Linked DNA regions of Rattus norvegicus. The protein of the gene in region 2 interacts with the protein of the main gene of each other region in a pairwise test. Links are inferred from orthologs where the notes say so. Each region holds a gene or a part of one and is shown on either strand. Other genes may lie near its edges.

The links. The genes of interacting proteins can lie anywhere in the genome.
Region 1: the proteins of Camk2b (region 2) and mrpl11 interact in binary tests that used the Homo sapiens proteins (3 or more experiments, as listed by UniProt). The two-hybrid records come from large-scale screens. The link is inferred for Rattus norvegicus from reciprocal best matches to the Homo sapiens genes CAMK2B and MRPL11.
Region 3: the proteins of Camk2b (region 2) and Rap2b interact in binary tests that used the Homo sapiens proteins (3 or more experiments, as listed by UniProt). The two-hybrid records come from large-scale screens. The link is inferred for Rattus norvegicus from reciprocal best matches to the Homo sapiens genes CAMK2B and RAP2B.

Annotation. Positions count from the first base shown.
Region 1 is NC_086019.1:211,692,491-211,696,990, reverse strand, and holds mrpl11 (large ribosomal subunit protein uL11m), read right to left. Parts: upstream 3,185-4,500; 5' UTR 3,109-3,184; coding exon 2,986-3,108; intron 2,488-2,985; coding exon 2,392-2,487; intron 2,023-2,391; coding exon 1,929-2,022; intron 1,842-1,928; coding exon 1,682-1,841; intron 586-1,681; coding exon 480-585; 3' UTR 324-479; downstream 1-323.
Region 2 is NC_086032.1:85,074,595-85,078,632, reverse strand, and holds part of Camk2b (calcium/calmodulin-dependent protein kinase type II subunit beta), read left to right. Parts: coding exon 1-37; intron 38-159; coding exon 160-282; intron 283-589; coding exon 590-673; intron 674-1,458; coding exon 1,459-1,501; intron 1,502-2,459; coding exon 2,460-2,534; intron 2,535-4,038. UniProt on the Homo sapiens protein: Calcium/calmodulin-dependent protein kinase that functions autonomously after Ca(2+)/calmodulin-binding and autophosphorylation, and is involved in dendritic spine and synapse formation, neuronal plasticity and regulation of sarcoplasmic reticulum Ca(2+) transport in skeletal muscle.
Region 3 is NC_086020.1:147,748,040-147,750,822, reverse strand, and holds Rap2b (ras-related protein Rap-2b), read right to left. Parts: upstream 1,437-2,783; coding exon 885-1,436; downstream 1-884. UniProt on the Homo sapiens protein: Small GTP-binding protein which cycles between a GDP-bound inactive and a GTP-bound active form. Involved in EGFR and CHRM3 signaling pathways through stimulation of PLCE1.

The DNA.
Region 1 (4,500 bases), on a different chromosome or scaffold from region 2:
CCTAGCATGTATATGGTGCACATACATACATACAAACAGTCATATATAAAAGAAAATGAATAAATATAATTTTTAAAAGTGTGGTCTGGTGGAGGATGCTGGGAGTCCAACCTTCATTAATGTTGGCCTTAAGGAGAGGGTTGCTCCAGGTGGAGGCTACCTTACACAGATGGCTCCATGTATGTGACTGTTTCCACCTTACTGTACTGTGAGGCAGACAAGCGCTAAGGTTCCTGTTCACCTGTGGGGCAGCTCACGCCTGTGAAGAGTGGTAGCTGTCAGTGTTAGTCCCCATCTCGGGTCTCAGGAAAGAAGTTGAGAGCTTATGACAAAGGACGTTTATTCAGGCTCGATCCTGTGGCACAGCATATGTACAGAAGTCAGGAAACTATAAATCGGGTTGCCATGGAGTCCTTTGGCTCAGCTTCCTCGGTGGGCCCCCTTCTCAGTCTCTCACTTCAGAGTGTAGAAGGTTGGGGTCACTTTTTGGCAGCTTCTGCCTGAGCTGCCAAATCCGCCTCTTTCTGAGCAGCCAAAAACACGGCCCGTTCCTTCTGAAAAGCTGCCAGTTCGTCTACACTGAGGCTACAGGAAGAGCGATGGTCAGTGAGGGGCGGAGCCTGGCGCAGACCCCAGCTGCCCTGCCCACGTCCCTCCCTGGACTTTCCAACTTTCTTACCTTTGCTCATCTGCAGTTTCTCTGCCTGGAACCACAACCCACATACACTACCATCCTCTACTGTGGCTCCTATTTTAAAGACCTACGGAACCTGTGGCCTCTACTATACCTTTAGGATTCCCAGCCCTTCCTCTGAGCCACAAACACTTCAAGTGAGAGAGTCACAGAGCTGCATACTTTAAGGCAGACTGTGCTCTAACCTCACCCCTGAGGTACAACTGATGCCAGCCTTGCTGTAGGGAAAGACACCAGCAGCAAGCAACCAGTGATGACTGACCCAGTTCCTGCCTCTGCTGTGCTCTGGGCCAAATGCTCTCCTACTTGACAAGTTACTTCAAGGAAACGATTCCTGAGATCATCCAAAGCCAGCTGACTTGTGTGGTTGTTGGCTCAAAAGACCCTTCTGTCTGGTCCCTCCCTCAGGCCATATCCCATCTGCCTCTCTAGACGAGACTCCTAAACCACAACGAACTTAGCTTCAACACCTTATCTCTCATTGTTCCCTGCAATTTTTCCACCTTTTGGAACATTTGCTCTCCTACCCTCCTTTTCCTGGGCTGTTTTGATGTTACCTCCCTCAGAGTCATCAATGACACAAGGGAAAAGCAGGAACTCTCCTCTCTGCTCTCATGACATCCACTGGTTTTATAACTGACCACCTGTTAGCCTAAGCCTCTATGTATGGATCTGTCTCTATTTAGGACTACATATTTCTCCAGAGTGGCCGAGCACCACTGTTCATTCCTGGTTCTGTGCGGTGTCCAGAGCCATGTCTACTACAGAAGAGATACTCATCCAAACGAGATGAGGCTCCATATCCTTCTGCTAGAGTCTGCTAGAAAGCTAGACATGTATGAAAATGTCACAACGAAGTTAATATGCTTAACTAATATATGCTATAAATTTAAAAAAAAAACCTGACTTTTTCATTGCAATAGGCTTTCTCCCAAATCAAGAACTTTCTTGGTTTCCTTTGTACACCATTCCTCTCAAGATACTCACTCTTTCACCACACGAATGCCCAGGGAGCGGGCAGAGCCAATGATGGAACGGACAATAGAAGACAGGGGTACATCTTGCATGGCAAAAGCCTCATCCTTAGCTTTGACACGGGCAATCTCGTATACGTGCTTCAAACTCACCAGACCTGCCACCTCTTTCCCTGGGAAGAAGGAACAGGTCGTCATTCTTCTAGTGCCACTATTTCTCTGGATACATCAGAATCTCAGGTGCCCCCTGTAGCCCTTACCTGTTTGCCGGGCCCCCTTCTCAATCCCAGCAGCTGCCTTCAAAAAGTAGGAAATAGTGGGCTGCCCAATCTTGAGCTCAAATGTTCTGTCGGGCTTAACAGAAAAAGATACATGAGAATTTCTTGGTTTTCTATCTGGTCCAAGACATTTCTAATGTCCCTTAACTTCCCATCAACTTGCATTCCTGCGGTGTTGTCTTTAACACCAGAGAAGGCAGGATGGGCAGATCTACAGTCCACATCCCTGTCATTTTTATTCCTAGCACAATTCTCCTCTGGAACCCCTGTGAGATGAGAGGTCAGAATCACAATATGGCAGGATCAAGCCAGTTCAGAGAAATTATGGTCTAGGCTTCTGTGTAAATGAGAAGTGGAAGTTGGCAACCAAGTTAGGGACAGAGAAGCAACCGGGATGACTAGTTTCAAGTGCCAAGGAAGTATATGGGAGAATTCGTCTCTGTACCTTTATAAAAATTTTTGTAGGCAAGGGAATGCCTTCTTTGATGTCCTTTGTTTTTTCATTGAACTCTTTGCAGAACTGGTTGATAGAGACACCTCGCTATGAGGAAAGCATATACAAAGTTAAGTGTGAGGGGTTGGGGATTTAGCTCAGTGGTAGAGCGCTTGCCTAGCCTAGCAAGCGCAAGGCCCTGGGTTCGGTCCTCAGCTCCGGAAACAAAACAACAAAACAACAAAACAAAACAAAACAAAACAAAACAAGACAAAAAAAAAAAAAAAAAAACAAAGTTAAGTGTGGGAGCTGAAGGCTTCCTATCAACCAGGAGCTCCAGTCCCCCCGTCCCCGCCATCTTCATTTTTTTTGTGTTCCGATATTTCTTCTACCCAGGTTCAACTACGGCTTTGGGTGCCAGGCGATTCGTCCACAAGGTGCCACTTAATCAGCAAGTAGCCAACTTGATGGTCAAAAGAGGCTACGTAAGTAATACAAGAACCTAAGGCCTGAAGGTGTGAATAGCGGAGACAGGTTTATAAAGGAGACCTCCCGGGCTCCAGAGCACTCTCCCACGTCTCCCAAGCCGGCTTCCAGACACCGCACCTGACCCAAAATGGGACCTAATGGAGGCCCAGGGATAGCTTGGCCTGCTCGCACGATGGACCGGATCACGCCGCCGGCCTCGGGCTTCTTGAGGGTCCGAGTGACCCGGCTTAGCTTCGACATGATATAGGATTTTAACCTTAGTCCGCCTCGGAGAAGTCAAGAACTACGATCTGAGCGCTGTCATTTTGGGTCAGAGGTCAAGGGCCCTCGTGTTGGGCTAGGGTAAATGTGGCCAAAAAAGAACAGTCTTGTTTCAGGCATACAGCTCTTCGACTGAAAAACGAGTTACGGAATTTAAAAATGAATTGAACTTTGCGCTCTGAAGTCAGGACAAGAACATATATGGTTTCAGTATACACATTCCTTCAGCAGTGCCCACAGGCATCGCCTTAGACAGCCAAACAGGAGATCAGGACTTTGAGTCTCCGCACAGCATTGTAGGTATTGTAGTATTGTAGTTTTAGCTCTTTATCCTGCGCTTGCTGTTGACTGAGCTCTGGGTTGCCATCTGCTGGACACAGTGATATCTTAGTGTTTGAAATGGAGCAAGTTATTCAAAGGAGTCCCTTGAGTCTTTTGTTTCGTGTGTGTGTGTGTGTGTGTGTGTGTGTGTGTGTGTGTGTGTGTGTGTGTGTGTGTGTGTGTGTGTGTGTGTGTGTGTGTGTGTGTGTGTGTGTGTGTGTGTGTGTGTGTGTGTGTTTTTCATGAAAGGCAATATGATTATAGACGGAAACGAAACGTAGACTGCTGCTCTAGCTATGAACCTGATTTATAGCTAGACAAAAAGTTAGGGCTAGGGTTAGGTTACTGTTTCTGTTAGCTATTTCATGTTGGGCACCACGGATACTATAGGTACCTTTCAGAATCATTGTGACAGCTCAGTAACACACGTTGCTTTAGAACAATACTTGCACCAAGAAGGCATTTACCACTATTTGTACAAAGGGAAGAAATTTTCCCGGCACTTTTGAAACGCAGTCTCTGAACCCTCATTCCAGTCAGACCTAATTTCCCACTAGCTTCTTAGGCATACTTTATCGCTTCCCTTTCTTTCCTTCTTTCTTTCCTTCTTTTTTTTTTAATTTTTTTTATTTATTCATTTATTATATATATAAGTACACTGTAGCTGTCTTCAGATACACCAGAAGAGGGCATCAGATCTCTTTACAGATGGTTGTGAGCCACCATGTGGTTGCTGGGAATTGAACTCATGACCTCTGGAAGAGCAGTCGGGTGCTCTTAACCGCTGAGCCATCTCTCCAGCCCCTCTTTCCTTCTTTCTTTCTTTCTTTCTTTCTTTCTCTCTCTCTTTCTTTTTATTGGAAGCAGATGATTTCATTACTTGCTTTCTAGGGAATGGCATTTGAATCAAGTGGTGTTTGTAGTCTTTGTTCTCACTCCCTTGTGTAGTTAGGCACTTTGGGACATGCATGCAGAAACATGTACATTGCACACACAGGGAAATGGAAAAGGAAAAGAAAACGTGGAGGATTGTGAGAGGTGGCTAAGAGG
Region 2 (4,038 bases):
CAAGCTGTACCAGCAGATCAAGGCTGGGGCCTATGACGTGAGTGAGCGCCGGGTGTGGAGGGCGGGGACCGCCACGGCCTGGGTCTTCCCTCCTCTTCAGGGGTGTTTGCCCCAGGGGAGGGGCTTCAGCCTTGCCCTGTGCCCCACTTCCTTCTGTAGTTCCCATCCCCCGAGTGGGACACCGTTACCCCTGAAGCCAAAAACCTCATCAACCAGATGTTGACCATCAACCCCGCCAAGCGCATCACGGCCCACGAGGCCCTGAAGCACCCATGGGTCTGCGTAAGTCGTCCTTGGCAACCTCTAGGGGCCAGTTCCTGGTGGGTCTATCCAGGGCCCCTAAGATGGCCCCGGGCTTCTGTTCCTTGTGTCCGACCACTCCCCTGATCTGTGAAGGACAAGACTCTTGAACTTGGAAATAGGTTGGGGACAGCAGGTGGGAACAAGTGATCTCTCGCTGTTGTGGTGGCTGGCCCTAGAGTGCCATCACCCTGAACCCCTCTCCTAAGCCTCCTTGGTTCCCCCTCTGGAGGCAAGGCTGATACTTCTGTAGATCCTCACTGCCCTGCGACTTCCCTTCTCCCAACAGCAACGATCCACGGTGGCCTCCATGATGCACAGACAGGAGACTGTGGAATGTCTGAAGAAGTTCAATGCAAGGAGGAAGCTCAAGGTAGGCAGGACTCAGACCCCATCCCTGCATCCTGGGGGGGCCCCATGCTGGAAGTAGGGGTGTTAGTGGGGCCTTCAAAAGAGGAAGCAGGAGAAACCCCCCAAATCCATGCCTGTTCACGAGTCCAGATCAGAGGATTCCAGATTCTGGGACAGCTCAGAGGGGCGAGCTTGGCCCTGAGTGCAGAGCATCCTGAGGGCTGAAGGAGTGCTGGCCCAGAGCAGGTTCAGTAAAGGGCAGAGCAGAAGGGCCTGGTGGGCCCAGCAGGTTAGAGAGGCAGGCGGACAGGCCTGATCCTGAGAGTTGCTGGCCAGCTAAGGACAGGGTTAGCCCTGGGAACCATTGCTCAATTGAGCTTCCCCAAAGCCCCAAGGGCAGCCCTGGCTTCCCTGGGCCCGTTAAAGGAGTGGTTCTCAACTCAAGGGTCGAGATACCCTGCAAAACCTTCATAATGTAACAGTAGCAGAATCACAGTTATGAAGTAGTAACGAGATAACTTTATGGTGGAAGGTCACCAGGACATGAGGAACTACCTTGGGGTGTCACAGCATTTAGGAAGTTCAAGAACCACTGGGCTAGCTGTCATGGTGGCAGGCCTTCCTGGCCATGCTCACTTCTCAGGAGTCTTGACGCTGTGATTTATGGGTAGCATGAGCCTTAGCTATGGGCGTGTGGCTTCCCTCAGTGCAGCTGCCAGGCTCTGGAATTCTTACTTCTCTGGGAGACCGAGCAGGGGGGACAGAAGCAGACACTAACAGGGTGGCCCTGTCTCTGTTTCTCCTTAGGGAGCCATCCTCACCACTATGCTGGCCACACGGAATTTCTCAGGTGAGACATTCTTCTCCAGGGAAGACGGTGTTTGAGTCCCACCCTCGTTCTACAGAAAGCCCCCTCCTTCTTCATCGGCCCCCCCGCCCCTTTCCTCCAGGCTGGCGGGGGCCCAGTTTCTGTCCTCACCTCTAAGATCCTCTACCCAGAAGGCCTTTTGGCTTTTCTCGTTGGGTAGCTACTGAGGTCTGCTATGCCCCAGTCCTGCCTCCTCCGTGTCGTTGGGTCTGTGTCCCTTACTTGACACCCCAGTGTCTGTGCTGCCAACACCTGGCCTGCCACCTGTATCCGTCCAAGCATCTGTTGGGCAGCCCTGTGGCCTCCTTGTCCTCAGTTCTCTGAGCATCGTGTTGTGTGTGGGAGACAGCCGAAGTGGGGGTGGATGAGATTGAGGTCCGCGCACGGGGTGACTTGTAAGTGGGCCGCCTACCCTGGTTGTTTGGGTGGGTGATGGGAAAATGAAGTCTCAAGGGTCTGTTAGAGACCCATGGGGCCCGCGTGGGGGGACAGTGTTGGCCCCAGTGCCCGGACAGCTATGTCTGTGGCTTCTTCGTCGTCTGACACTATGTGCGAGCGTTCATGGTCGTCTCTCCTTGTGCGTCTGCATCTGGTACCCTGCCTCCTGTTACTTTGCTGTGATGCTGTACTGCCGGGAATGGGCACACAGTCACATCAACACTAATGGGACTGTCCTGTCTGCTGTGTGCCCCGCATGCCCCACAGGGCACAAGAAGCCCCACTGGGGTGTTCTAAGGAGAAAGGAGGCAAATGCTTTCCAGTGTCTATCGGCCCAGTCTTGTTTCACTATCCTGAGAAAGGGATTCTGGAGCCATCCCCTACCTAAACTTTAACTCTAATCTTCTTCTGCTTCCTTTGTCTCTTCTCTTTCCTCACCTCGCCCTTCCCCACGTCTGTGTCCGCCCCCTTCCCCCCCTCGTCTCTAACCCGGTGCTAACAGTGGGCAGACAGACCACCGCTCCGGCCACAATGTCCACCGCGGCCTCCGGCACCACCATGGGGCTGGTGGAACAAGGTAGATGTGTCTTGCCCAGTGTCCACCCGCTCCTGCCCATCCCTCCTGTTGGCATGCAGCCCCCCTGCTGCACGCAGCCACTGGCCAGACCCCCAGAGCCTCCCCGGAGGCAGGCAGTCCCCTGGGAGCTCTGCTCCTGTCACATCCCAGCTGAAGCCCTGCCCTGGGCAATAAGGCTGCCCCTCACTCTTGTCTCATCATCTGTAAGAGAGAGGTCACATCAAATCCCAGATGCATTTGCCTGAGACCCTTGGTTCTGCCTCTGGATGTCTGGAGACCCAATTCAGAGTGACCCTGATCTCACAGGAGCCACTAAGCCTGCTGCTGGAGGGTATCAGCCCTGAAAGGGGAGCCCTTGGATCAGGGCTTGGGGATAGAGACATGTCCCAAGGATCTGTAGGGCCCAAGGGTCTGGTGGTCTGTGCTACAATTCCTCAGAGTGAAAGTGGGGTGCTATCAGTGTCTGGAACTGAAGGGTTCTTTCTGAAGACCCTTCTTACTTGGTCCCGAACTCCCTTAGGGGAGGAGGTAACCTCCATCAATCTGTCCCTTTGATGGTGTGAGACCTTCTGAGGGCTCAGTGACCCAGAGCCCTCACCACGGGGTCCGTAGTCACCACCCAAACTGAATGCCAGCCAGCAGCACAAGGTTCGAGTCGCCACTGAACACATAGACCCAAGCCAAGCTTCAGCTTCTCCTAAAGCCTTGAGAGTCAGCTGAGGATCGAGCACGGGTTTCCCAGCCAGCTGAGGACCAGCCCTTTCCACACGCCTGCCCACACCCACCTCACAACACCACTAGGACCACAGCAATGATCACCTACTAGAGGATCCTCCTCCTGGGGGATGCTTAGGTCACCCTAGGCTTGTCTGTTCTGCCCACAGGGGCCCGTTGTAGACGCTCCCAAGTAATTATATAAAGCTAGCGGCTGTCAGGGCGGCCCTATTGCCAGGGGACAGTGGCGTGAGACAGGTCACCTCTGAGCCATGCTCCGCCCAGGACTTCTGCTGCAATGCTCGCCTGCCTGCAAGTGAGCCGGGGCAACCTTGCATGAGGCTGCCTGCATGTTGTGGTTCTGCCCCAGGAGCTGAGGGTCCCTCTGTCCTGGAGGGAGGTCAGTGCATGTCAACAAAGCTCGGCATGGCTGTCCACGGTGACTAGAGAGAGAGAGCAAGGCAGAGCTGAAGGTCCCATCTACTCCGTTAGGTCGGCCCAGCCCAACCACACACGAAGGGCACACATTGGGGGTCTTCCTTCTCCGTGATTCTGTCCGAGCACCTTGACAGCTGTAGACCCTTGCTGTAGAGCGTTTTTGCACTTTGGCTCCCACCACCCCGCCCCCATTGAGCAGACATGCGCAGTAAGGTGCCTTGTGACTGTCAGGCTGGCTGGCTGTGGGCTGGAGGTAATGGCTTGGCCTGAGACCTGGAAATGGAAAATGCCCTCCTCCTGAGTTGGGAGTACAGATCTGAAGAGCCCCCAACTCTAAGTATCTGGAATCCCC
Region 3 (2,783 bases), on a different chromosome or scaffold from region 2:
AAAAAGCTATACTCACACACACATACATACACACAATAGCACACACAAAAAATGTGCAGATCTGTAACATTTTTCACAGCTGATTAAAAAAAAATACTACCATTCTCCCCCCAGACTCCCCTTTGATACAGTAGGTAATCAAAATAGATTTTTTTTCCCACAAATATCAGCAGACACTTCCTGGCACCCCACACTGTATTGGCATCAGTGCTTAACAGTCCCAGTTCACATGTGCAATACTTCAGATTGGATACACTGTAACAAGAACCCAACTTTGCATAGACATCCTCAGAATCCTAATCAGTCCCTGGGTTGCCCTTCCAAGCTGGCAGAAAAGGAACCCCTAGTCGTAATTTCCAAATAATCCTGGAAAACAAGGGAAAAAAAAGTTTTGTCCCCTCTTCTGGCTCCTTCGTATGATTTTCTGGGACCTCTTTCCTTGTGTTAAAACTTGGAACTGTGAACAGTTGCTTGGGGGAACCCTCCCCCACTGCCTCCTTCCCCTCCACTTCCTCTGCTTCCCCACCCCCATTTTTTTTTCCAGGCTTGAAACTTTCGCTTGCCGGTGTCAAGCAGCCAATACAGAGCCTTAATGGCTACTTTAACGGGGAAAAATGCATTAACCAAAATCAACGAGGAACGTACACGCTGTATAGAGCCATTTTTCCATCAGGGTCTCAGATGCTCAGCAACGGACACCCCCTCGGACCACAGCTGAAGGCTAGGGATGCTGGCCACACAAGTCAGCCAGGTTCCTCGGACATCCCAGCCAATACAACAAAGTCGTCTCCAATCTCAAAGCAAGAAGACAATCACATTAAGAGAATCGGGTGCGTTTGGCTTTGTGCACAGAGCGTGGCCAGCGCCCGGCGGCAGACAGCGCCTCACAGGATCACACAGGCCGAGCAGCAGCCCTCGTCGCCGTTGGGCTGTGCCGCGTAGTTCATCTGCCTCACGATCTCTGCGAATAGCTCATCCACTGAGGCTTTGTTTTTGGCCGATGTTTCCATGAAGGGGCAGCTCCACTCCTCGGCCAGGGCCTTGCCCTCGCCATAGGAGACCTCACGTTCGCCCTCCAGGTCCACCTTGTTGCCTACCAGGATCATGGGTACGCGCTCGTACCGTTTCACGCGGATGATCTGGTCCCGCATGGGCTTGATGTCCTGGAAGCTCTGCTGGTTGACCAGGCTGTAGACGAGGATGAAGCCCTGGCCATTCTTGATGTACAGGTCCCGCATGGAAGCGAACTGCTCCGTGCCCGCGGTGTCCAGGATCTCCAGAACCGACGGCGACGAATCCACCTCGATCTCCTTGCGGTAAAAGTCTTCAATGGTTGGGTCGTACTTCTCGATGAAGGAACCTGTTACGAACTGCACGGTGAGCGCGGACTTGCCCACGCCACCCGAGCCCAGTACCACCACTTTGTACTCTCTCATGGCTCCGTCGGCGCCCTCGTCGCGCCTGCCGCGGCCCCGTCGGGGCTGCGCGCCGGGGAAGGCTGGGTTGGGCGGGCGGGTGGACTTCTCCCCTTCCTCAACTCCGCAGGAACAACCCTGGCGAGACTAGCCCGGTAGCACGGGCTCGCCAACAGGCTAGCAGAGCCCCGCGCCGGGCCGACCGGCAGCGGGGGCGCGTCCCTAGGGCGCGGGTCCCGGGCCCCGCAGCAGTCCTGGCGGAGGACCCTGAGGACAATGCGCGCAGTCGGAGCAAGACAACGGCTGGAGCTCTTCGCCACGGCAGCCTGGGAGGGCCGGGAGGCGGTGGCGGCTGGTTGCAGAGGCGGCTGCTAATTGTGCGTCCGGCTGAGACACGCGTGGCATGAGTCCCCACGGAACGTGCGTCCAGCTCCGCGGCCCATCACTCTCTCCTCTCTCTCCCGCAGCCTTCGCTGGGCGAGGGCTTCCTACTCGCCGCGCGCAGCCCGGCCCTCCCCGCCCAGCGGAGCATGCCCAGTGCGCCGCCCGCGGTGCCCCGCCCGAGCTCCGCTCCAGCTTTTCCGCCGCATCGGGAGTGGGCGTGGTAGAGGGAGGGGCAATCAGGGACTGGGCGGGGCGGGGGCGGGGCGGCGCGAATCTTGGAACTGGGCAACCCGGCTTGTCTGTGCTTGTAGGTGGAAAGCTCTCCAAACCCAAGCCACCACCACCGTCTGGGCTCCGCGGGCCTCCTGAGGGCGCAGCAGACAGCAGCTGGCTGTGACCTCCTCGTCGGCTTCCGCTGTTAAAGGATAAGACACCTATTCCTAAACCCAGGCCGCTGCGCACCTCTAAGAATCATACACTTGCAGGGCATTTTTCAGGCCGGGGAAGGTATAGAGAGGCTCGGGCCCCAACTTGGCACTATGTTCCCGTGTCATTTCCCCTCGAAGAACTCGGCTTGAGTCCCTGTCCGGACCAGGAGCTAGCGGGTGGGAATTTGTGGGTCGCCACAGCCTTCGGGGCAGGAGTTGCCGGGTCATCCTACCTCCCCTTTGGCTAGAGCCAAAACCAGGCTAGTGGATCGAGCCCCGCGGAAGGCCCGCGGCTCCCGCACCCAGTCAGGGCATGCTCAGTCGGCAGAGCAGGTTCGGGGCTTGCAAGTAGGAAGGTTTCGCACCGCACACCCACACGCCAGCTCAAATTACCTCTCCCAGACTCCCAACTCATTGGCCCCAGGATGTGAGTCTCACACCCCCAAATGTTTTCCCATTGGCTGTTCCCGAGGTTTTGTCACTTTAGACAGCTTCATTGGCTGGAAAGTCGCCTCCGCTTAGGATTGGTTATTTATAGAGATTGAGTGGAGAGGCG